Ovis aries: one gene and its partners. The protein of the gene in region 4 purifies or fractionates together with the protein of the main gene of each other region. This does not show direct contact. Links are inferred from orthologs where the notes say so. Each region holds a gene or a part of one and is shown on either strand. Other genes may lie near its edges. The genes, in order: SMC3, SMC1A, PDS5B and sororin.

What was found.
Region 1: the proteins of sororin (region 4) and SMC3 purify together in Homo sapiens (affinity purification with mass spectrometry; 7 studies listed by BioGRID and IntAct, counting the BioPlex papers as one, with this or other methods). This does not show direct contact. The link is inferred for Ovis aries from reciprocal best matches to the Homo sapiens genes CDCA5 and SMC3.
Region 2: the proteins of sororin (region 4) and SMC1A purify together in Homo sapiens (affinity purification with mass spectrometry; 7 studies listed by BioGRID and IntAct, counting the BioPlex papers as one, with this or other methods). This does not show direct contact. The link is inferred for Ovis aries from reciprocal best matches to the Homo sapiens genes CDCA5 and SMC1A.
Region 3: the proteins of sororin (region 4) and PDS5B purify together in Homo sapiens (affinity purification with western blotting; 4 studies listed by BioGRID and IntAct, with this or other methods). This does not show direct contact. The link is inferred for Ovis aries from reciprocal best matches to the Homo sapiens genes CDCA5 and PDS5B.

Annotation. Positions count from the first base shown.
Region 1 is NC_056075.1:30,647,739-30,653,422, forward strand, and holds the start of SMC3 (structural maintenance of chromosomes protein 3), read left to right. Parts: upstream 1-2,397; 5' UTR 2,398-2,521; coding exon 2,522-2,536; intron 2,537-3,534; coding exon 3,535-3,610; intron 3,611-5,684. UniProt on the Homo sapiens protein: Central component of cohesin, a complex required for chromosome cohesion during the cell cycle. The cohesin complex may form a large proteinaceous ring within which sister chromatids can be trapped.
Region 2 is NC_056080.1:51,291,079-51,296,729, reverse strand, and holds the start of SMC1A (structural maintenance of chromosomes protein 1A), read left to right. Parts: upstream 1-1,731; 5' UTR 1,732-1,797; coding exon 1,798-1,906; intron 1,907-5,651. Other genes in the region: RIBC1 (RIB43A-like with coiled-coils protein 1), read right to left, coding at 984-992. UniProt on the Homo sapiens protein: Involved in chromosome cohesion during cell cycle and in DNA repair. Central component of cohesin complex. The cohesin complex is required for the cohesion of sister chromatids after DNA replication.
Region 3 is NC_056063.1:28,615,106-28,620,308, reverse strand, and holds part of PDS5B (sister chromatid cohesion protein PDS5 homolog B), read left to right. Parts: coding exon 1-226; intron 227-316; coding exon 317-427; coding exon of another isoform or gene 428-431; intron 432-3,500; coding exon 3,501-3,639; intron 3,640-5,027; coding exon 5,028-5,063; 3' UTR 5,064-5,203. UniProt on the Homo sapiens protein: Regulator of sister chromatid cohesion in mitosis which may stabilize cohesin complex association with chromatin. May couple sister chromatid cohesion during mitosis to DNA replication.
Region 4 is NC_056074.1:39,743,625-39,749,381, forward strand, and holds the start of sororin, read right to left. Parts: upstream 3,496-5,757; 5' UTR 3,415-3,495; coding exon 3,369-3,414; intron 3,141-3,368; coding exon 3,046-3,140; intron 2,973-3,045; coding exon 2,793-2,972; intron 394-2,792; coding exon 1-393. Other genes in the region: ZFPL1 (zinc finger protein-like 1), read left to right, coding at 4,123-4,224, 4,533-4,644, 5,736-5,757. UniProt on the Homo sapiens protein: Regulator of sister chromatid cohesion in mitosis stabilizing cohesin complex association with chromatin. May antagonize the action of WAPL which stimulates cohesin dissociation from chromatin.

The DNA of each region.
Region 1 (5,684 bases), on a different chromosome or scaffold from region 4:
TGCACTATGAGGGCTTCTCATTGTGGTGGCTTCTTTTGTTGAGAAGCACAGGCCCTAGAGTGTGCAGGGTTCAGTAGCTATGGCTTGCAGGCTCTAAAGTACAGGCTCAGTAGTTGTGGCATACGGGCTTAATTGCTCCAGGGCACATGGGATCTTCCCAGACCAGAAATGGAACTGGTGTCCCTTGCATTGGCAGACAGATTCTTAATCACTGGACCACCAGGGAAGTCCCTGCACAAAAGTTTTCATAGAGTATAAATTATGTTTCTTTCATCGCTTGTGCTTTTAGTGTCATGTTTAAGAAACCATTGCCTGATTTATAGTCACAAAGATTTACTCCTACATTATCATCTACGATTTTCTATTTTTAGCCCTTACATTTAAGGAGTCTATGGTTACAGCTAAGACCACCTTGTTCCTAGGAGTGAAATAGGCAGCCAGTTGTGGTAGAGGTTCATTTACATACTATATTAGATTAGGTTTAGGTGAGTGGAGGCTGATGTCAGTCACCACAGCAGAAAAATCACAACCTTTCACCCAGTTTATAGACTTTAGCCAGATCCCACACCACAGCCCATAAACCGAACAGAAGGCTGGGTCCTGAGCAAGGTGTATTCCTCCTGCAAATATATTCAGTATATTTATTCCTCCAATCTGACCCTGAAAGTTATCAGAGTAACTGACCCATCGGAGAAAGGGAGCAGTTAGATTTTTGAGTGTTACTGAATCCAGGCAGGACCCTGGGGGCCCTGCCTCATACCAAAAACCTGTGTCTCCCATTTCTTGTTTGTAAGAAAAAGGCTTCAGCCTCCTAGATTTTCCCTGGATTCCAAAGGGGATACTCAAAGTTACTAACTAGGGGAGTGAAGGAATGTAGAAAGAAATTAAAAGGAGGCAAGAAACAATAGAGCAGTGATGGGGAGGGGTCCTGGTTCTTTTTCAAGGTACACACACTACAATCTGGTACACATCTCTTGAGTTCTTCTACAGGCACTAAGTCCCCCAGGCAGATCAAGAACGGTAAATGAAGGCTGAGCGCAAGCATGTGGACCCCCGACTGGCTGGAACAAGAGGGCTAATTGAGAGTCCTGGAATATCACCGTTACTATACCAGGTCACACACCTCTGCAGCCCTTCCTCCAAAATTTGCTTATCAAAACTCTTCCCAGAAAACCATTGGGTAGTTTGTGCTTTTTGAACATAAGCTGCCCCATTCTCCTCGCAATGAATCTTTCTCTGCTCCAAACTAAAACTTTTCAGTTTGTTTGGTCTCATCACGGAAGTAATACTCAAAGTCGCAAAAACCAGCGACTTCCATCTCTTCTCCTAAGGGCCGGTTTGACTTTCCTAAAAGTGGTATGTTTTCCCTGAAGTGCTCTTTTTCTTTCCCTTGCCTCCTCTAATAAGTCATTTGTTTTCCCTGAAGTGTCCCTGTCCTCTTCATCTATTAAAAAGGTACATACATAAAGTCTTCTTCCAGCACCAAGAGGCGTTGACAGGGACGAAGTTAGTCATTTGAAATAGCTCAATGTAGAAATAATCAGCGCTAGAACTGTCCGCCGTAGCGGGACGGGTGGCGAGGACCGACCAACTTGAGTGCTGAGTGGCAGGTAATTTTACAGCGGCCCAGAGATCCGAGTTTTTCTCCTGCGATTGGTGCAGATCAGATACGCCCAGGGTTGCCACTAGCACCTCCAAGCTTTTAGGCTGTTAGGAAAAAAAGGGGGGGAGGGGTTTTAATCTTAAATAAATCTTTGCGTTCCAGTTGTCCAATCTGCCTAGATTTATACCAATTGGCAGAGCAGTAACAGCTCTGGGATATTAATAACTATGACATTATTAAAATTAATTTTCTAGCGTCAAGTCCCTTTGGGGCTGTCCTGAGAGTGGGGAGTCCAGAGTCAGCGGGGGCCATTCTAAGTTACACAAGAGAGAGAATAATAGAGGACCAGGGGTTCTGCCCCCCGAGTTTCCCCCCAGGTCGTGTACACTACAGGTTCGGGCAGCCGCGCCGCCCGCCCCAGCTCGGTATTTCCAAACAGCGCGAGACCACGGGGCCGTCAACTCGCACGGCTACTGGCGCTTGGACACCCTCTCTCAGCTTTGGCGCCGAACCTTTCGCCACCTTGTGGCCGCAACCATTGGCTGCCCGCTCGGAGGGTATACAGGTCAATCTCACGACCAAGGCTTTTCCGAATGAAGTTTCCGACTACTTCTCAGGGAAAATTCATTGAAAAATTGAGGAGTCACATGAAATTCAGCTAGCGACATCGCAGAAGGCTCTTTTGCTAAAAATACAGAGCAGATCTGACTCTGATTCCCCCCACGTTCCGAGGGAAGCTGCGAGGGTGGTTCCGTCCGAGGCGGGGACTCCGCCTCCATGGGCGCCGCCATTTTGTTTGGCTCGAGGGGTGCAAGCGGCGCCTTGGGGGGTGGGGTCGTTTAGGCGCCTCACCTAACCCCGCTGCCGAGTTGTTGCTGCTCGCCGGGAGCCCTTCTCGCCGGCCAGGGGCACGGAACCATGTACATAAAGCAGGTGAGGCCTGTGCGTCCCTCCCGCCCCTCAGGGGCTCGTGAGGACAGCTCCTGTCGGGGGTGTTGCTTCTTGCAGGGTGGCGCGGGGCTGGACAGGGACTGTGGGGGAGGGGCGCAGCTCGGGGCGCCCCTTTGCAGCCCGAGCCGCCCCTTTGCAGCCCGAGCCTCTCCGCAGGGCGCTTGTCTGAGGGAGGCGGGCTCTAGCGGAGAGAGCTGGAGGGGCTGGCGACGTGGGCCTTTTGGAGGGAACCGGGCCCTCCCGGGTGGACGAGAAGCAGCTTGGTCCTGTGGGGCTAGGCAGCCCCCTCGCGAGCCTTTTGCGTGGCGTGTGTGAAGAGAGGGTGTCCCCGGCCTCGGGACGCCTGTGGGGTCCAAGCTGGGTGTCAGCTTAGCCAGGGGCCTCGCTCCTCCCCGAGTTACCGGAGACGTGAAAGGGTCCCTCCTTCCTGCAGAATGTGTAGCGCCTCCTCATTCCGTTGTTTACTTTCTGTCAAAATGGTCTTCCCGCGCTGGAGGCCACCCCGAAAATGAGCCCATTCACACTCGTTAAGAGAAGTTTCTCGGCTGGATGTGTTGGACTCGGAGCAGTCCTGTCCTGGATGGGCGGCTCTTTTTTGGTCAGAGTGTGACTGAAAGGGGCGCCCAGGACCGCTGAGCCCCCCTGCATACTTGATAAGACTTTTATCCGGCCCTCTGATGGTTAGTGTTCCAGCCAGCCTTACCCAGTGTATTTGATTTTGAGCGCTCCCTAACAGGTTACTAATTATAACTTCTCTTAAGCAACACTGGTAGTGGTTACTGATATACGGGCAGTTTTAAGAAGATTTTTAAATCATTTTCCAAGATAAATTTTTCTTCTCTGACATGGGAATTTTTCTATTTGGCATTAAATGGGAAACCAGAAAGGGAAGGAGGGCAAAAGGAAAATACTAGCTTAGAGGTTATTTCTTTTGGGGCATGTTATTTCTTTCTGAAAAAAATCTCTCTTCTGTTTGTTAGGTTATTATCCAGGGTTTTCGAAGTTATAGAGATCAAACAATTGTAGACCCGTTCAGTTCAAAACATAATGTTATTGGTAAGTGTTCATGGTTCACTCTTGTCAGTTTTCTGTCTACATAGTCGTTTAAATTTGCCTACATTAGGCTTAAGGAGACAGGAATTGTCTTAATATTACATAAATTTGTATTTTTTTTTCTGTGTGAATACTTTTATCTGCACTGATGAAATTGCTTCCTTTTTACGTTTAAAAATACTTGGATAAGACAGAGTATTCATTTTTATTTGGTAGCCTTGTGTGTATGTGTTTTAATAGATTTAAGTTTATAGTGAATGGCACTAAATTTAGCATTTCAGCTATTCTTGGTATGTCATTTCCTACTTTAAAAGTGGTCACTATTGCCTTATTTCAAAGATGACCATTCTTTATTCACAAATTAGGTTGTTCTAAGACATTTTTTTTTCCCCATTATAATGTCCAAGGACAGACCATGCAGCTTGATAGGAAAAGCATAAACTTTGGATCATGGCAGAATGGGATTCAAATCCCAGTTCTGCTATGTATTCTTCAGACTTCCTGATGCTTCAGTTTTCTCACTTGGAAAGTGGAAATAATGATACATGTTTCTTAGGGCTGTTGGGAACATTAAATGAGAAAGCAATAATGTGAGGATAAGGGGGCTAATGGTGATTGTCCTTCAATATAATAATTAATATATAGGTTCTACAGATGATAGTGATACAGACAGCAGGTGTTTTCTGACCATCTGCTGAGTTTTTAAAGAACAGATTAAATGAGTGCTTCTAGACACCAGAAAGGAGAAGGCAATGGCACCCCACTCCAGTACTCTTGCCTGGAAAATCCCATGGGGTCGCTAAGATTCCGACACGACTGAGTGACTTCACTTTGACTTTTCACTTTCATGCATTGGAGAAGGAAATGGCAACCCATTCCAGTATTCTTGCCTGGAGAATCCCAGGGACAGGGGAGCCTGGTGGGCTGCCGTCTATGGGGTCTCACAGAGTCGGACATGCCTGAAGCGACTTAGCAGCAGCAGCAGCAGACACCAGAAAAGTATAGAATCGCTATCAACATAGATTTCAGCCCTACAGTGTCCTAGTTGGCTTGGTCTGCCACAACAAAATGTCATAGACTAGATGGCTTAAACAACAGGGATTTATTTTTTCACTGCTCTGGAGAACCTTTGTTTGAACCTCTCCCTCTTGAAAGAGCAGTCCTACCATAAAGGCCTCACTCCTAACCTCATGTAAATTACCTCCCAAAGACCCCTTATCTCCAAAAAGCTTCACATAGTAGGGTTAGGGCTTTAACATATGAATTAGGGGTCAGGGAGAGTATGTACCATGGAGTCCATAGCTTGAGGTAAGATTCATACTGTTGACTAAAAAAAATGCATGAGTTGGGAATTAAGTTTTATTTGGGGCAAAATGAGGACTGCAGCCCAGGAGATAAGCACCTCAGATAACTCTGTGAGACTGCTCCAAAGAGACAGTGGGGGAAGGTCAGTCTCTTAAGATTTTGGTGAAGGGGAAGTTCAGTGCATTCAAGCCTTTTGGTGGTTATTCAGTCGCTAAATTGTGTCTGACTCTTTGTGACCCCATGGAGTGCAGCATGCCAGCCTTCCCTGTCCTTTACCATCTCCTGGAATTTGCTCCGACTCCTGTCCATCGAGTTGGTGATGCGATCCAACCATCTCATTTCTGTCACCCCCTTCTCCTCCTGCCTTCAATCTTTCCCGGCATCAGGGTCTTTTCTAATAAGTTGGCCGTTCTCATCAGGTGGCCAAAGTATTGGAGCTTCAGCTTCAACATCAGTCCTTACAGTAAGTATTCAGAATTGATTTTCTTTAGGATTGACTGGTTTGATCTCCTTGCAGTACAAGGGACTCCCAAGAGTCTTCTCCATCACCACAGTTCAAAAGCATCAATTCTTGGTGCTCAGCCTTCTTTATGGTCCAACTCTCACATCCATACACGACTACTGGAAAAACCATAGCTTTGACTAGGCAGACCTTTGTAGGCAAAGTAATGTCTGCTTTTAATATGCTGTCTAGGTTAGTCATAGCTTTTCTTCCAAGAAGAAAGCGTCTTTTAATTTCATGGCTGCAGTCACCATCTGCAGTGATTTTGGA
Region 2 (5,651 bases), on a different chromosome or scaffold from region 4:
AATTTGGAGGAATTTGAATGCAGTCAAATTTACCAATCTTTTCCTTTAAGTTCAGAAGTTTTTATCATTTAAGAAATCCCCTGAGGTGATAAAGATATTCTCCTATATATCCTAAAATTTCTAAAGTTTTGCTTTTCTCATTTAAGTTTTTAATCTATCTGGGAATTGCCTTTTGTATATGGTGTGAGAAGTAGGGATCCAATTTGATTTTCTCTCCAAAAAGCTACATTTCATCTTAAATGAAGTTATTGTTGTTGTTTAGTTGCTAAGTCCTGTCCAACTGTTTTGCCACCCCAAGGTGTAGCCCGCCAGGCTCTTCCATTCATGGGATTTCTAGTTCCTGTCCATTATGAGATTGCTGTCTTTGGTCATTTTATCCCCTCAGCCTGATCACACCAGTATCTCCCAACTGAACTTCATTTACTTAATTGCATCAACCAGGCTTTCTCACTTTTCTGGACTTGTCCTAAGACTCTTCCCAGCCTCCAGACATCGTTTAAAAAATAGTTACAGGAATGGCTGTAGCAGCCACCAGACCCTTTCCATGTCTAAGTCTAAGCACTGACGCCAGCTTGCTTATATTCCATCTGTCACCACAATATAAGGTCAAACTGAAGGGGAAGATTCTACAGCTTCTTGAACTGCTAACATTATGGCTTAATAAAGAGCAGGTAATAAGGTAAGGGGGGATGATGGGATGAAGCAGAGGGATAGAAAAGATGGGAAACAGGGGAAAGGGACAGAAAGGTCAGGGGCAGAGGGGGAAAAGAGGAAGGAGGAAAACCGGGTGGTTGATAGGGGTGGAGGACAGAGCAGAGAAAAGGAAGGGAAGCAAGGGACTGGGCAGAGGGGGGATGGAGAGGAGGGAATGGGATGGGAGTGAGGCATGAAAAGACAGAGATGAAGAGGGGGAAGGGAAGAAGGATAAGAGGTGGAGAGCACAGGCTTAGGGACCCTGACTCCCAGGGGTTCACACAAAATACCTTTTTCATCAAGGAGTCCCAATTGTGAAGCTCCCAGGTTAGGTCCAAGACTATAGTGGCAGTCTCTGAACTCTGCTTGGAGAAGAAGGAGGGAGGCGGGGCGGGGGGGGGGCGGGTAGGGGTAGTACCTCTGGCCACAGTTGGGGAAAACTGTGGCTCCAGAGTTCCCCTTCTCCATTCACACCTCATCCCCCTTAACACCCTATCCCATGTATAACTCCACCCCACTCCAATTCCAACCTCAGCAAGATTTGAGCTCCTCTAACACGGAATCCTCCTGCTTGCCCCTCCTTCCTCCCCTCCCTGGGGTCTTTCCAATTCCCGACCCTTTTCTTGTCTGAACCTTCCCGCCGGCCAGGCAAAAGCTGCAGCCGAGCTCCCACCTTACTCTTGCCCTGGAGGGCATAACCCTCCTGTGACTTCTGACTTGTCTCAGCAAGGGTCGGCCTCGTCAGCCAGCTTTCCGGGATCCTCAAAGCTGCAGACACCTCACTGCACTGCTTGCCTCCTCAACTACGAGGTCGCCTGTAGCGGCGGTTTGAAATTGCCATGCAACAAGAAAAGGGGGCGGGGCCCGAACGCCAGTCGTAACCTCGCGCCTTGGCAACCGATCAACAAAACCGCCACATCCGTCCGAATGCCCCGCCCCTTGGTTCCATCCTGCGCCGGAAGTCGAAAATCCCGTTCGGCCTGGACTTATTCTCGCGAGGTTTGCTGTCCGCCCGGCCTGCACTGCGGTGTTTCCCGCGCGGGCTATCCCAGTTGGCGGGCGAACGGCGCGGCCTTTCTTAGCGCCGGCGGCGCTGCCGCAGTCATGGGGTTCCTGAAGCTGATTGAGATCGAGAACTTTAAATCGTACAAGGGTCGGCAGATTATCGGACCATTTCAGAGGTTCACCGCCATCATTGGACCCAATGGCTCTGGTGAGATAAGCCCGGCTGCGGCCCTGCGCACGTCCCAGCCTGGACCCCCTGTCCGCAGCAGAGTAGTACAACCCAGGCTTTGCAACCTAGGAGGTTCCTTGCCCTTCTAAGTGTTCGATCCTGACCCGCTTTTCCCGCTTGGGTGCTCTGATTCGAACCTCTTCCCCAGATGTCACTTGCCCGCTCTTTGCGTGACCCCCGTCCCGGCCTGAGTGGTACGGGCCGAGCTGTACGTTACCCCGCCCACTGCCCCCTGCCTCCAGAAGTGGCGCGTCCGGAGCATGCTTCCAGTCGCGGGCCACGCAATTCCTCGCCGGCGCAGCTGCATCCGGCCCCCACACATTGTTTTAACCACCGGGAAGCTCGTGGCCCTCTCCTGGCCTCTGGGCCAAATGGTATACTTCTGCTTCATCCCAGCGCCTCCTCCCGTCTCGCGTTGGTACACTCCAATTCCTTTTTTTTTTTTTTTTTTTAAACTCTTCTCTGGAGGCGGCACTTTTGAATTTCGAACTCCGTGCTCCAGTCTCGGTAGTGCTTGGGGTCTTGAACTCCCCCATCCTCAACTGAGAAGTGGGGATGCCTCGAATTCGCCCCTTTCCTACCACTGAAACCGTCGAAAGTCAGGAGTCTTTAGCTTGTCAAATTTATTAAATGTTTACTGCTTTATAAGGATTTGTTCAATCAAGGTGCTGTGGAAACAGCGGAGAATAGAATAAGCCACGCTTTCAGAGAACTTATATTTCGAGGGGAAAGACGATAATAAAGGAGAAAATAAGTTATTTTTCGGCTGTAATAAGTGCTGTACAGGAAATTAGATTGATGTAATAAAGTGATGATGTGATAAATGACTCGGATGCCTCTTTAGGAAGAGTGGTCATTAGTTAACAATACTGTATTGTGTATTTCAAAATTGATAAGAGTAGATCTTTAAAAAGTCACAAAAAATATTAACTGTGAGGTGATGGATGTTAACTTACTGGGGCAGCCATTTTGCAATATATACAAATACGGAGTCACATAGTACACATGAAACTAATACAGTGTTGTATGTCAGTTCAGTTCAGTTGCTCAGTCGCTGTTGACTCTTTGCAACCCCATAGACTGCAGCGCGCCAGGCTTACCTGTCGATCACCAACTCCCTGAGCTTGCTCAAACTCATGTCCATCAAGTCGGTGATGCCATCCAACCATCTCATCCTCTGTCGTCCCCTTCTCCTGCCTTCAGTCTTTCCCAGCGTCAGGGTCTTTTCCAGTGAGTCAGCTCTTCGTATAAGGCGGCCAAAGTATTGGAGTTTCAGCATCAGCATCAGTCCTTCCAATGAATATTCAGGACTGATCTCCTTTAGGATTGACTGGTTTGATCTCCTTGCAGTCCAAGGGACTCTCAGGAGTCTTTAACACTACAGTTCAAAAGCATCATCATTTCTTCAGTGCTCAGCTTTATGGTCCGATTCTCATATCCATACACTAGTAACAGAAAACATAGCTTTGACAACACGTCGGCAAATAATGTCTATACTTTTTAATATGCTGTCTAGGCTGGTCAAAGCTTTACTTCCAAGGAGCAAGCATGTTTTAATTTCATGCTGCAGTCACCATCTGCAGTGATTTTGGAGCCCCCCAAAATAAAGTCTGCCACTGTTTCCATTGTTTCCCCATCTATTTGCCATGAAGTGATGGGACCAGATGCCATGATCTTCATTTTTTGAATGTTGAGTTTTAAGCCAACTTTTTCCACTTTTCTCTTTCACTTTCATCAAGAGGCTCTTCAGTTCTTTGTTTTCGCCCATAAAGGTGGTGTCATCTGTGTATCTAAGGTTATTGACATGTCTCTGAGCAGTCTTGATTCTAGCTTGTGTTTCATCCAGCCCGGTATTTTGCATGATGTACTCTGCATATAAGTTGAATAAGCATGGTGACAGTATACAGCCTTGACATACTCCTTTCCCAATTTGGAACCAGTCCGTTGTTCCGTTTCTGGTTCTGTTGCTTCTTGACCTGCATACAGATTTTTCGGGAGGCAGATAAGGTGGTCTGGTATTCCTATCTCTTGAAGAATTTTCCACAGTTTGTTGGGATTCACACAGTCAATGGCTTTGGCAGTCAGTGAAGCAGAAGTAGATATTTTTCTGGAAGTCTCTTGCTTTTTCTATGATCCAACAGATGTTGGCAATTTGATCTCTGGTTCCTTTTGCCTTTCCTAAATCCAGCTTGAACATCTGAAAGTTCTTGGTAAATGTACTGTTGAAGCCTAGCTTGGAGAATTTTGAGCATTACTTTACTAGCGTGTGAGATGAGTGCAATTGCGCGGTAGTTTGAACATTCTTTGGCATTGCCTTTCTTTGGGATTGGAATGAAAGCTGACCTTTTTCCGGTCCTGTGGCCCCTGCTGAGTTTTCCAAATTTGCTGGCATGTTGAGTGCATCACTTTAACAGCATCATCTTTTAGGATTTGAAATAGCTCAACTGTTATTAAAACTGGGGGGAAAAGGAAAAAGGAAGAAAGAGTAGTCAGGTAAAGTCTCTATTTCATATCTAAATTCCCTGTCTAAATTATACACCAAGGATTCCTCCTGTCTGCCCACGTTAGCTATCTATTTGGAATCCTGCTGTGTTCCTCCACCTCAGAGGTGTTCTAGCTAAATCACTTCCTAGCCTGAGGGACTGCCCTTGCTGAAGTAGCTCTAACTGATGACCTTCCCTGGAGACTTGCCTAGATTTCGCTCTCAATTAAGCAGGGTTTCTCTATAGCAGCGCTATTGACATTTCCAGTGAGAGAATTCTTTGCTTTGGAGTCCATCCTGTGCATTGTAGGATATTTAGTGGCTTCCTTAGCTTTTACCCACTAGGTGACAGTAGCACCACCCCCCATGACTCAGGTATGACAATCAAAAATGTCTCTAGACATTACCAAGTGTCCCCTGGGGGGAGAGGCAAAACCATTCCACTTCCCCCCATCTTCTTAGATGGCTAATGCTTGGGGTTTCATTGCAGTTGTTTAGGGTTTTGTTTGGTGGCCCCCGTGGAAAGAGCCAGGATGCACCTTTTGGCATTCAGTCCCCTCAACATGGGTAAATTTGTATGTGCAAGTGTTCCAAAAAAACCCCTTGGTCTGACTGGCCCTCCCTTACCTGTTCTTTAGTGTGCAACTCACAAGATTTGCCTTGATTCCCTTCAGTGAATTTCTGCTCTAGACACCTGGTACATGTTAATTTTTATTCTGTCGTGAATTCATGGTGTATATTTTGATATCTTCATCACTGGCCTGTGGAGTTCCCCAAAGAAGACATTGCTTGAAACATTGTATCATTGTTCAGATCATAATGCATGTTATAAAAATGTTTACAATATTGAATGGTTGCAGGTAGGGAGGCCTTTGATTATGTGATGTTCTTGTCATCCTTGGAGAGCATGGGAGAAGCCCAAAGGTTGTAAATGGGTTGCCTAAAAGACTAACTCCTCATCTGCATGTTGTGCTAGTCCTGCTATGTTGAGGGAAACCAAGCTAAGAGTCCAGACCTGGTTTGGATAGAATAGGATTGCCATTTATTGAGCCCGCACTGTGACAAGTATCAGTACTTTACTTATTGGGACATTTTGCATTTAAATTCTCACAGTGACCCTAGGAGGGAGGTACCGTTATCTTTGTTTTATAGATGAGAATACTGAGGCACAACAGGTTGTGATCATCTGCACACTTAATTCTCAGAGCCAGGATCACAACCTGTGCCTGTCACACCTGTGCT
Region 3 (5,203 bases), on a different chromosome or scaffold from region 4:
AACAGAACAGTCCACCAAAAAAAGGTAAACGAGGCCGACCACCAAAACCTCTTGGTGGGGGTACACCCAAAGAAGAGCCAACGATGAAAACATCCAAAAAAGGAAGCAAAAAAAAATCTGGACCTTCAACAGCAGAAGAGGAGGAGGAAGAAGAAAGACAAAGTGGAAACACAGAGCAGAAGTCAAAAAGTAAACAGCACCGGCCTTCAAGGAGAGCACAGCAGAGGTAAGTGTGTGCCACTCTGAACTGCATGCATTCAGTTATTGTACTGTAAATCATAACTTGATGCTGTCTGCATCTGGGTCTTTCCCAAAGCAGAGCAGAGTCTCCAGAAACTAGTGCAGTTGAATCCACACAGTCCACACCACAGAAAGGACGAGGAAGACCATCAAAAACACCATCACCATCACAACCCCCCAAAAATGTGTAAGTTGTAAATAATATTAAGTTTCAAACCAGTTTCAAATTATTTTGCAAGAGTTCATAAATTTCTAAGTATAACAATACATAGTGAAAGTGTTCGTTGCTCAGTCGTGTCCAGCTCTTCGTTACCCCTTGGACTGTAGCCCACCAGGCTCCCTTGTCCATTCTCCAAGGAAGAATTCTCCAGGCAAGAATCCTGGAGTGGGTTGCCATTCCCTTCTCCAGGAGATCTTCCTGACCTAAGAATCGAACGAGATCTCCTACACTGCAGGCAGATTCTTTACTGTCTGAGCCACCCATATATTTAGCCCATTATACTAGGTAAGATAAAATTTTTGTAAACTTACCTAGGTGATTAATATCCCAATCATCCTTTGGCGACATTTGTACATTTTTATAGGCTTTAGAGAAATGGTTATAAACAAATACCAAATAGTTGATTATTTCCAGTACACACTTTATGGTACCTAAAGAGACGATGGCGTATCTTTAAATAATCACGCATAGATCACATTTTCTTGTTACTCCACACCACAGGTTTTCCATCTTTCCTCAGCAGCTTTAAAAAAATAGCTTATACACTTTTGCTTTCATTCTTTGATCAGTGTAGGAAAGTAACAGGCATCATTTTTCCTAAGTACGTTGGTGGAAATTATCACATAGTGATCTCAAGCTTTTGATGTCTTGATATTGTTTTCTAAGTAAATTAACACATCTGTATCTACATATAGATAGTTTTGGATGTTCACACAAGTACATGTTTATAGGAGAGTTATAGTAACAAATCTGTGTCCAAAATTATTAAAGTGGCAGGGGCATCAATGTTGTAATTTATAAATTTGGCACTTTTTTCCTCATTTAAAGCAAAAACAGAGTAGCATGTTGTCTGTCAGAAATTTTACAGTTTTTCTGAAAGTAATCTCATACTTCAGTGGCTTGACTTTTCAGTTGCCAGCACACCTTGGTTAAACACTCAGTTCATAGTTTCCTGTTCCTGTGTATTCCATGGGAAAAGTTACTGAGTGTCTAGCCAGTACTTCCCACCTTTTTCCATTTAATTTTTCCTTCACGTAAAAAGTAAAGGTAAGTACATTTTTTCGGCAGCTTTATAAATGTGTTTGTATGCAACCATGGAAAAATAACTTAAAAAAAATTCCTAAGATAGCCTAAATTTCAATGATTAACTTTATAACAAAATAACAGGGTAAATATCTTTCATGCTTATAACTTTAATTTATATTGGGGCATCATAAAATTAAGGGCTTATATGATTATCATTTTGTCTTGTAAAATTACACAAGTCCTCCTCATGGGAATGTTTTTAATGAAGCAAGTATTTTCTGTTAAAAAAATCAACACACAGAGAGAGAGAGTCTATGTCCTATCTTAACAGCCTAACTTCTTTTTACTGGAAGGCCCCTCTTTAGAGGTAGTATGATCACATATGTTACTATTTGCTTGTTTTCTTGTTCTGATCTTAGTGGAATTGAGCAAGATTATATTATTTTCCCTGTATTTTCTTCTGTTAATTCTGAAAAACTAAATCAAGTAAATTTGAGAAAATTGGTTTGAGTACAGATTAAACAGTATGTATATTCAGTTGCTTATAGAAATGATGAGGAAATTCTAAATTAAATACCAACAGATATATACGTTTAATTAAATGGTGGTATCTGTTACATATTTTTGAGTATCTTCTATGTGTCAGAGAGTACTAGGTGCTAAGGAATATAGTGACAGAAAACAGACATCCTTATAGTGCTTAGCATCTAAAAGGGAATGTAGTTATTAAATAATCACACATGAATGTGAAATAATAAGTTGTGAAATGTACCTTGGAGGACAAAGTTAGGGTGCTGTAAGAGAGTGTAATGAGAGGGCTGGGGAACTGGGGAAGTTTTCTCTTTGGAAAGTTGATTCCTTGAGAACAAGTTGATTCCTCAAGTTGATTCCTTGAGAACAGTAGGACTTAGACTTCTAGAGAGTAGGGAGAGGAACATTTCAAGTGGAGGGGACATTGTTTTGGAAGGTGCTGAAGTGGGAACAATCTTGACAAATTCAGAGAGCCGAAGGAAGGCAAAGTTTTTGCTGTATTGCAGTTTCAGGGAATTGGGGTATAGAAAGAGATGAGAACTGAAAGTAGGCAAGGCCAGTCTAAAGGTCCTTATGTACTTATCAAGGAGGTTAATGCAGTTACTCTCAGTACAGTAGGGGCCTCTCTCAGGGGCATGACATCAGCTGTTTTACATTTTTAAAAGATTACTTAGAGGCAAGAGATGAGAATGGTTTAGAAATATGTATGATGTAACAGTGAAGATGGAGAGAGTGAATGGATTTGATATTTCTTTACAAGTAGAATCTTTGGGTCAGACAAAGAATTGCACACTATTAAGGAAGACTCTAAATTTTCTGGTTTCAGCAACTCAGTAGACATAGATGCCTTTTACAGACTTGGGAAAGGAAGAGTAGACTTTGGGTTATATATTAAAATCCTTTATGGCGTTGGTTTCAGTCACCCTGACTTTTGTTATTTGTTAGATCTTTTTATATGTAACAATCTAGGGTTAAGTACTGGTTTAGGGTTTAGAATGTAAGAAAAATATTTCTTGGCTTACACGGTAATTGAGGGTAAAAATGATAATAAAGGACAGTCTATTAAGTAATTAAAGCATTTCCTCTTATGAAGTAAAGTAGAAAGTGAAGTTGCTCATTCATTTCCGACTCTTCGTGACCCCATGGAGTCCATGGGAATTCTCCAGGCCAGAATACTGGGGGGGCGGGGGGGTAGCCATTTCCTTCTCCAGGGGATCTTCCCAACCCAGGAATTGAACCCAGGTCTCCTGCATTCATTCATCTTTACCGTCTGAGCCACCAAGGAAGCTCAAGAATTCTGGAGTGGGTAGCCTGTCCCTTCGCCAGGGGATCTTCCCAACCCAGGAATCAAACCCCTGATTCTCCTGCCTTGCAGGCAGATTCTTAACCAGCTGAGTGGTATACCAGGGAAGGCCTCTTATGAAGGTAAACTACCACTTAAAGATCACAATGTTCATTTTATTTTACCTGTGTTTTACTCTAGCCGTGTAGGACGCTCTAAACAAGCAGCTACTAAAGAAAATGACTCAAGTGAAGAAATAGATGTGTTTCAGGGTAGCTCTCCTGTCAATGATGAAAATCCACAGGAAGAAACAGAAGAAGATGAAGTCTCTACAGTAAATGTATGTGTTTTTTAAAGTTCCATGTGTGATAGTATGGAGTATATTCAGTAGAATTAGAGTTGATAAGTGGTCAGATTCTTTTAGCACTTGCTGTTACTTAATAATTCTGAATATTTATGTATATATTTTTTCATTTGTTTGTAGTGTGTTAGTTCATCTATCAGCTTAGATTGTGGAGAAAATATCATTTATGAAAACCTGAAACCAAGTGAGAATAATAGACATAGCCTAGTGAAAGTGTAAATGTCCAGTGTACAACTGAATACAGAGAAGAGCAAGTGATAGTCTCAGGACGACACCACATGCACTTAAGTTTTCCCAGTATCTGTTACATATACTCTTGGTGATATTTCGTATAAGTTTTTTGTTTGAGTTTCTCAGTAGCAACTAGAATTTAGTCAGTCATGTAGAATAAAGTCATGTCTTCAAATAAAATTAGCGTTTGGAATTCATAAAAATTGGCAATAGACCTTTCTTTCACAAAAGTAGGAATGTGATGCCTCCCAAGATACTTTTTAAAATAATGAATGGCTGCCTGTCACAGCTCCGATTTTTCTCTTTGGAAGAAATATAATTGATGCGTCTAAGTAAGAGCTGTGTATTGCTAATATTCTTGCTGAATCTGTGGATCAGCTCAGCTAGTTTCAGTTTTTTGTTTGAGAAACGTGTGTCCTGTGATCAAGCCCCAGAGTTGACCCCTGCCTCTCTGTCTTATTTAATATAATCAGCACCTCTGTCTGCATCAGGATTCATTTATCTGAATTAGTTGAAGACCAGAGGAAAAAAATATGTTGAATTATGGTCTCAAACTAGTTTGGCTTATAAAGGGTTTTTATGGGGGGAAGGTATAAAAATAAGGCTGATGTGTACATAGTAACTGATGGCTTCATTAAAGGAAAACTAAACTATAAGTTAATTACATTAAAATCCTGTTCTGTTTGTGTTCCTCTTCATAATACTAAACTTATTTTATCTGAAATTTTATGTTTTCATTAGTACTTGCCACATTTTTTATATCTTTTTGATAGTTATTATGATCCAAACTCAATAAGTAACTTCTGAGAAAGGTAGCTATACGCCTAAGTTCATAAATACCAGATGTTTTCCTTTATTAAAGACACATAAATAACATGGTGATGTTTGTCATTGTTTTTTGCCATTGACATTGACTTCTGTTCATTTCTCTTTAAAATTATTAAACAGAAAAGTAAAATATTTTCTCTTTTGCTAATCCTGGGAAAGGCTATTTATAAGCATTCATGTATGTGATGCTAAGGCTGAAAGTTAATGTAGGAGAAAGATTTTAAGAAAGGACTATCAGGAACGTGTTAAGAATAATAATTGGTTATAAAACAATGGTAATTACACCTGTTGATGTTTCTTTCAAGGTGCGGCGGCGAGGTTCTAAAAGAGAAAGGCGATGAACAGATGCCGTTAATAACTTTCTGTGTGAGAGCTTTGAAAAAAATGGTTATCAAGCTTCAGGCTGAGTAAAGCCTTTGATGCACAAAATGGGACTGCTGAAGAGTGGACAGTTGGACCTTACTCTGATGACCTCATGTGT
Region 4 (5,757 bases):
CAGAGGGGAGATTCCAGGGAGAGTTGTGTCTGGGGCCCAGGGCTTCACAGAAACCCTGGGGACCTCAGCTAACACTGAATCCACCACTGGCGAGACTCCAGCCAAATCTTCAGCTGCCAGCAGCCCCTCAAAGCCAAAGCAGGACCGGCGGCCTGGGGTGGAGGTGGACGCAGAGCCCAGAGTCTCCAGGCGGCTGTACGAGCGCCTGACCTTCTTTGACATTTCCAAGTCTCTGGCGTCCACGTCTCCTTTCCAGGAGTTGGACTCAGCACTCACGGGGCAAAGCACAGGAGTGGAGGGGGCGGTGACAGGGACAGTGCAGGTCTGGAAGAGGTCCTCCTTAGTGAGCTTCTTGCTAGGAGGGTTGTTTTCTTTCTCCAATAAAAAGGCGATCTGTAGCAGGACAGAAGAGAGAATGCCTCCCAGTTATTTAATTGTGCTACTGACTTCAAGAAAGGCCCAAGGATCTAAAATGTCCATCCAGTCACTAAGTCCTTACTGGTCACCTGCCAGGCACTGTGCCAGGCACTGGGAAGACAGCAGGGAAGAAAACAAAGAAGACACACCTGTTTCCACAGGGCTTCCATTCTAGTGGGAAAAAGACCACAGGGGGAATCGTGTCACATGTTAGAGGTGCTAAGCACCTTGGGAAGAAAACAACAGGATGGAGCGTACATGGGGTAAGCGGGAATTTTAAATAGGTGTAGGTCAATGTAGGCCTCACCGAGACAGACGTAGTACTTGAAGGAAGCAAAGGAGTCAGTCATCCAGAGGAGAACTGTCCTAGGCAGAGAACAGAAAGTGCAAAGTCCTGAGGTGAAACTGTGCCAGTCAGGGTCAAGGACAGAAGGGCAGTGAGGGTGAAGTGAGAGGGAGTGAGCCGAGGAACTGGTGATGGGATTCGAGAGGTAACGCGGGTGTTATAGGGCATGTCTGCAGGCCAGTATTTTAAGGGGAGGCCCCGGGAGCCATGGCAAGGTCGTGAACAGGAAAATGCTTAATCTGACATGTGTATTAAGATGTTCACACGCTGTTTCTCATAATTCCAGTCTCAGCTCTAGTGCTGCTTCCTCAGAGAGACGGTCCCTTACCATGGAACGGAGGCTAGCCCCTCCTTACCTCTGCCCATCACCCTCCGTCACAGTGACCCCTTTCCTGGCCAGCGGGATCACTACTTGATTCTGACTGTTTGCTGGTTGGCTGAGACCTCACCTAGAATGTGCCCGTCCCACGTGAGCAGGTGTCTTCATCTGTCTGGTTGACCTGGCCTATGCCCAGCACCTTCAGCAGAGCCCTGCATGGAGCAGGTGTTCAATACATAAAGACTCAACTGACTTTCACAAAACTTGACACTGAGCTTGATAACTAAGGTGAGAAACAGGACAAATTTAGTGACCCTTGTGGTTTAAAAGAATTTCATTAGTTATCACGAGACACTTCCTGGCTATAGGCTCTGGGGAATCTATCCCATCAGTCTTATTAACAGGGATGCTGAACAAAACGAGGGTCACCCAGACTACCACTGTACCAGTCCCTACAGCCATCCAAGTCCTTGCACATTTTTTTGGTCCAATATCTCATGAATCTATCATTCAGACAACAAATATACAAACAAAGTACTCTTGGCTATTCATAAGGCCTATTGGGAAGGCTTCAGGGAGGAGGTATCCTTTGAGCTGAGTCCTGTCTGATAGGGCTCTCCAGCAGAACTCCAGCAACACTCTGCTTTTACCTTCCTTCATGCACCCAATGTCTCACTTTAGGACTCCTTTGATGTTCTCCTACTTGGTCTTGGAGACCCCAGAAGGCTTTCTCCAACCCATTCTCCAACCAGACCCAAGAAGGATCTTTCTAAAACACCCAAGGCTGCCTCAGTAACTACCTTGCGACTCTCCAAATCTGCCCACAGAACAAAGGATGAAGTCCAAGTTCATCAGGATCTGCTCTGGCTTAGTACACTCCCTCTCCTGACAAGGTCTACTGCAGACACACCAAAAGTGCTGTTCCTGAAACCTTGTGCTTCTCCTTGTGGACTCCAGGTGTCTACAAACACAGTTTCCTTAGCCTGGAACACTGCTAACCTGTCTTCAAAGACTAAGTTCAAACACCTCTGTGAAACATTCCCTGAGCTACCTGGTCTGGGTTAGGTATCTTTACAGCATCTACACTTTCTTTATTACAGTCCTCAGCACACTATGTTATCACTTGTTTTTCTCCCCAGTTGACTAGAAGCCTCGGAGCTACTCAAAGGCAGGTAACGTTTCTCATTCGTTATATTTTCAGGTGCAGATCTTCTGTTAATGAGACACCTTTAACAATAATTTCTGCTAAAACAGTTCAAGACATTATAAGTTACTGAGTAAAAGAGGCTAGAAAGGAGAAAAAGTAGTAAGATCCAACTCAACTTTAAAAGGAAAATGGTAGAGAATACCAAGGCATTAAACGCACCAAGTGTGTAGGAAGTAAGCAAGCCTGGCAACATATGCAGGTGTCCAAAGGCAAACTGTTTCAAAATACAGCAAAAACAACTCCCTGGGCAGACATGAATGAGTGAGTGAAAGTCGCTCACTTGTGTCCAACTCTTTGCGACTCCAGGCCAGAATACTGGAGTGGGTAGCCTTTCCCTTCGCCAGGGGATCTTCCCAACCCAGGAATCGAACCCAGGTCTCCCGCATTGCAGGCAGATTCTTTACCAGCCGAGCCACAAGACATGAGCAGCCATTATATCCCACCCCAGCTGTAGAGTGTCTGTCCTGGACTCCCCTTAACTAAGAAAATGAAAATGAACTTACCCGGGGGCTTCTTCGAGGAGAGTTAATGGATGTGATCTGTGGGGACAACGAGTTGATCACACAGCCGACTCCCGATCCTGGCTCTCCACCTACAACCCCTCTCTCAGCCCTCACCTCTACAGTATGGGCCACGATCTTCTTCAAGACGATGGGCTTTCTGATTGGAGCCTCCTGAGGCGCCTGGAGAAGAGGAGTGAACATGAGGTCTATATTAGCCCAGAGGCTTCCAGGGCAGGAGGAACCTGAGGCTCACCTTAGGCAAGATTTCCGGGAGGGTGTTTGGGAGATCAGAGCCTGATTTCCGCTGGGACCTCCGCAGAGACCGAGTGGGAGTTGGGGCGCTGGGTCCTGCAATCAGAAAAATTTAGGAGGTAGGGGAGGGCTCTAGGCCTGAGTCTAGACAACAGGTTCTGAAGAAAGAGAGAGAAGGTTCCCAAACAGGCCCTTTGGGGGCGCCTTCCTGGCCAGGAGACGAGGGAGCCTTGGAGGGCGGCGGGCGGGGGAGGGGGGTTCCTCACCGAACTGCGTCCCTCAAACGGCTCAACCCCACCTCTCCCGCGCGCCCCCTCCGCTCACCGGGGCACTGGGCGGCCCCTCCGGACCGGGTTCGTCTCTCGGACATGTCTAGCTTTGGTCTCTATCCCCTCTGCTGCAGGTGCCGCCACCAGAGCGCGCGCCAACCCGAAGGGTAAACGTTCGAATTACCCGCCTTGCGCGGGAGGAAGCGGAAGTGACGTAAGGGGGAGGGCCGCGAGATCCGCTCACTCCTTTTTCCACCCTCCTCCATGTCTAGCGTCTACAGGGGCGGGGTCACTGGCACCCTGACGTCATCAGAGCGCGCCGCACCCGGAAGAGACGTGGCAGCCGAGGGATAATCGGAGCGTTGTGAGCTGGAGAGAGCTGGGCGAGAGCTTGGCTGAACGCGGTCTGACCTTCCGCTCTTCGGACCGGCCCTCGCGCCCGTGAGGACCGGTGCCGCAGCCGATTAGTAACACAGAGAGTGGGGTCTGTGGAGAAGGTGGGGGCGGGGCATGGAGGGGGTGGGGCTCAGGAGGGACCTCTGGGGGCGGGGCCGGTGGTATTGGAGAGACTGATGGAGGGGCCTGCCCAAGGATGGGATGAGGGACGAATGCGGGGGTCTCAGGAGGCGGGATTTATGCAGGGGCCGTGGCCCAGAATATAGAGAGACGGTGGGCAGGAGTTTGGGGTTGGAGCGGATACGTGCGGTGTCTAGGGAAGTTAAGAGTGGAAACAAACTGGGCTGGTAAATGTGTAGAGGTCAGCAGAATCTGGCTTCCTGCCAACTGTGACGCTTTCCTCAGGGTCGACTATGGGACTTTGCAAGTGCCCCAAGAGGAAGGTGACCAACCTATTCTGCTTCGAACACCGGGTCAACGTCTGCGAGCACTGCCTGGTAGCCAATCACGCCAAGGTGGGTGTTCATGTTAGAGACTGAGCAGGGCACTAGGTGGGCAGGTCGTCGACTTTCCTCCAAATTAATGAAAGGTCTGGCCCTAGAATGGGAGCTCCGCAAGGGCAGGGACTTAGTTTATTTTGTTCACTGTTGTATCCCCAGTGCTTAAGACAGAGTCTGGCACATATGTGCTCAATGAATGTTTATTGATTGGTCAAACGAAAGAATGAATCTCCTCTGTGATGACAGAAAAAGAGGCACCTGGGCCTTGGGGAGACGGGCTGTGGAGCCCTGGCTCCAGTTGTGACCCCCTTCTCCCACTTCAGTGCATCGTCCAGTCCTACCTGCAGTGGCTCCAAGATAGCGATTACAACCCCAATTGCCGCCTGTGTAACATACCCCTGGCTGCTCGGGAGACAACCCGCCTCATCTGTTATGGTGAGGCCTGGGCACCTTGGGGGTGGGGATCTGGACAAGACCAGTGTGACTGGTTTCCAGCGGCTCCCCAAGCAGCAGGACAGTGAGACCTTCAAGCTTGGGAGGCTGGAACTCAGATTCTGGTCCCACTAGGTAACTTACCTGCTGTGTGAGCTCAGGCAAGCCACTTTCCCTTCCTAGGCCTTAGTGTTTTTCCCTAAAAACTAAGCTCCTAGCTTCCTGCCTGCCAATCTCTCAGGTGTGGTTGTGGCTCTGAGCAGTAGCTGGCTGTACCTGTAGTGAGCTGAAAGCAGGGGGCTCTCAGACGTTCAGGATCTATTTCTAATTCCAACATTACACAGAGAGGAACTGAATTTCCCACAGTAACGTCAGTTAAAAGAAGTCAACAGAGGCATGTGTCATGATCTTGACCCGACTCTGCTGTAAGAGCCTTAGCTCCACTTTTTGAGCTTAACGTATGTGTTTCTCACTGTGAGTGTGTGTTTATATGTTCATGAGTTAAACGTGTGTTGTGTCTTTACCTGTTAGTGTATTCATTGCTACTGTGGGTGAGTGAATGGGTCAGTGTTGTATATGAATATATGAGCATGTTGTGAGGTTGCAGAATTCCTGGGTGTGAATGCTTGGGTATTGGCATACTTGAGTGTATGTGAGAGTAAGTGTGCCTATAAGTGTGGATATAGGGGATGGCACTTGTGTTTGACTACGTGTATATAAACGTGTACATTTGTGCCGATGGATGTGTACACGCATCCAGGTGCCTGTGTATATGTCTAGTAACCTTTTGAGCTCTTAGCCCAGTGAGTTTGTGATGAGTGCAGGTGCAGAGAGGACTCCCGGAGAGGGTAGGTGGCATATTCATCCCACTTCCCCCGACCCCCTAGGGGCTGGGCAGCCTGTTAGCATCTGCCCTATCTTAGACAGTGGTGGCCAGGAAGACCAAAGTCTTAAGGTACACTGATATAATCTACCTGGGAAGGAGGGGGCCCTGGGCTTACACACGTGTGCAGATATCTCTGCAGTGGGCTAGTGGACTAGGGGTCCTAAGTGTCTTCTTCATGTCTTTCCTCCACTACTTCGTGGCCTCTAAGATCTCTTCCACTGGGCCTGTCT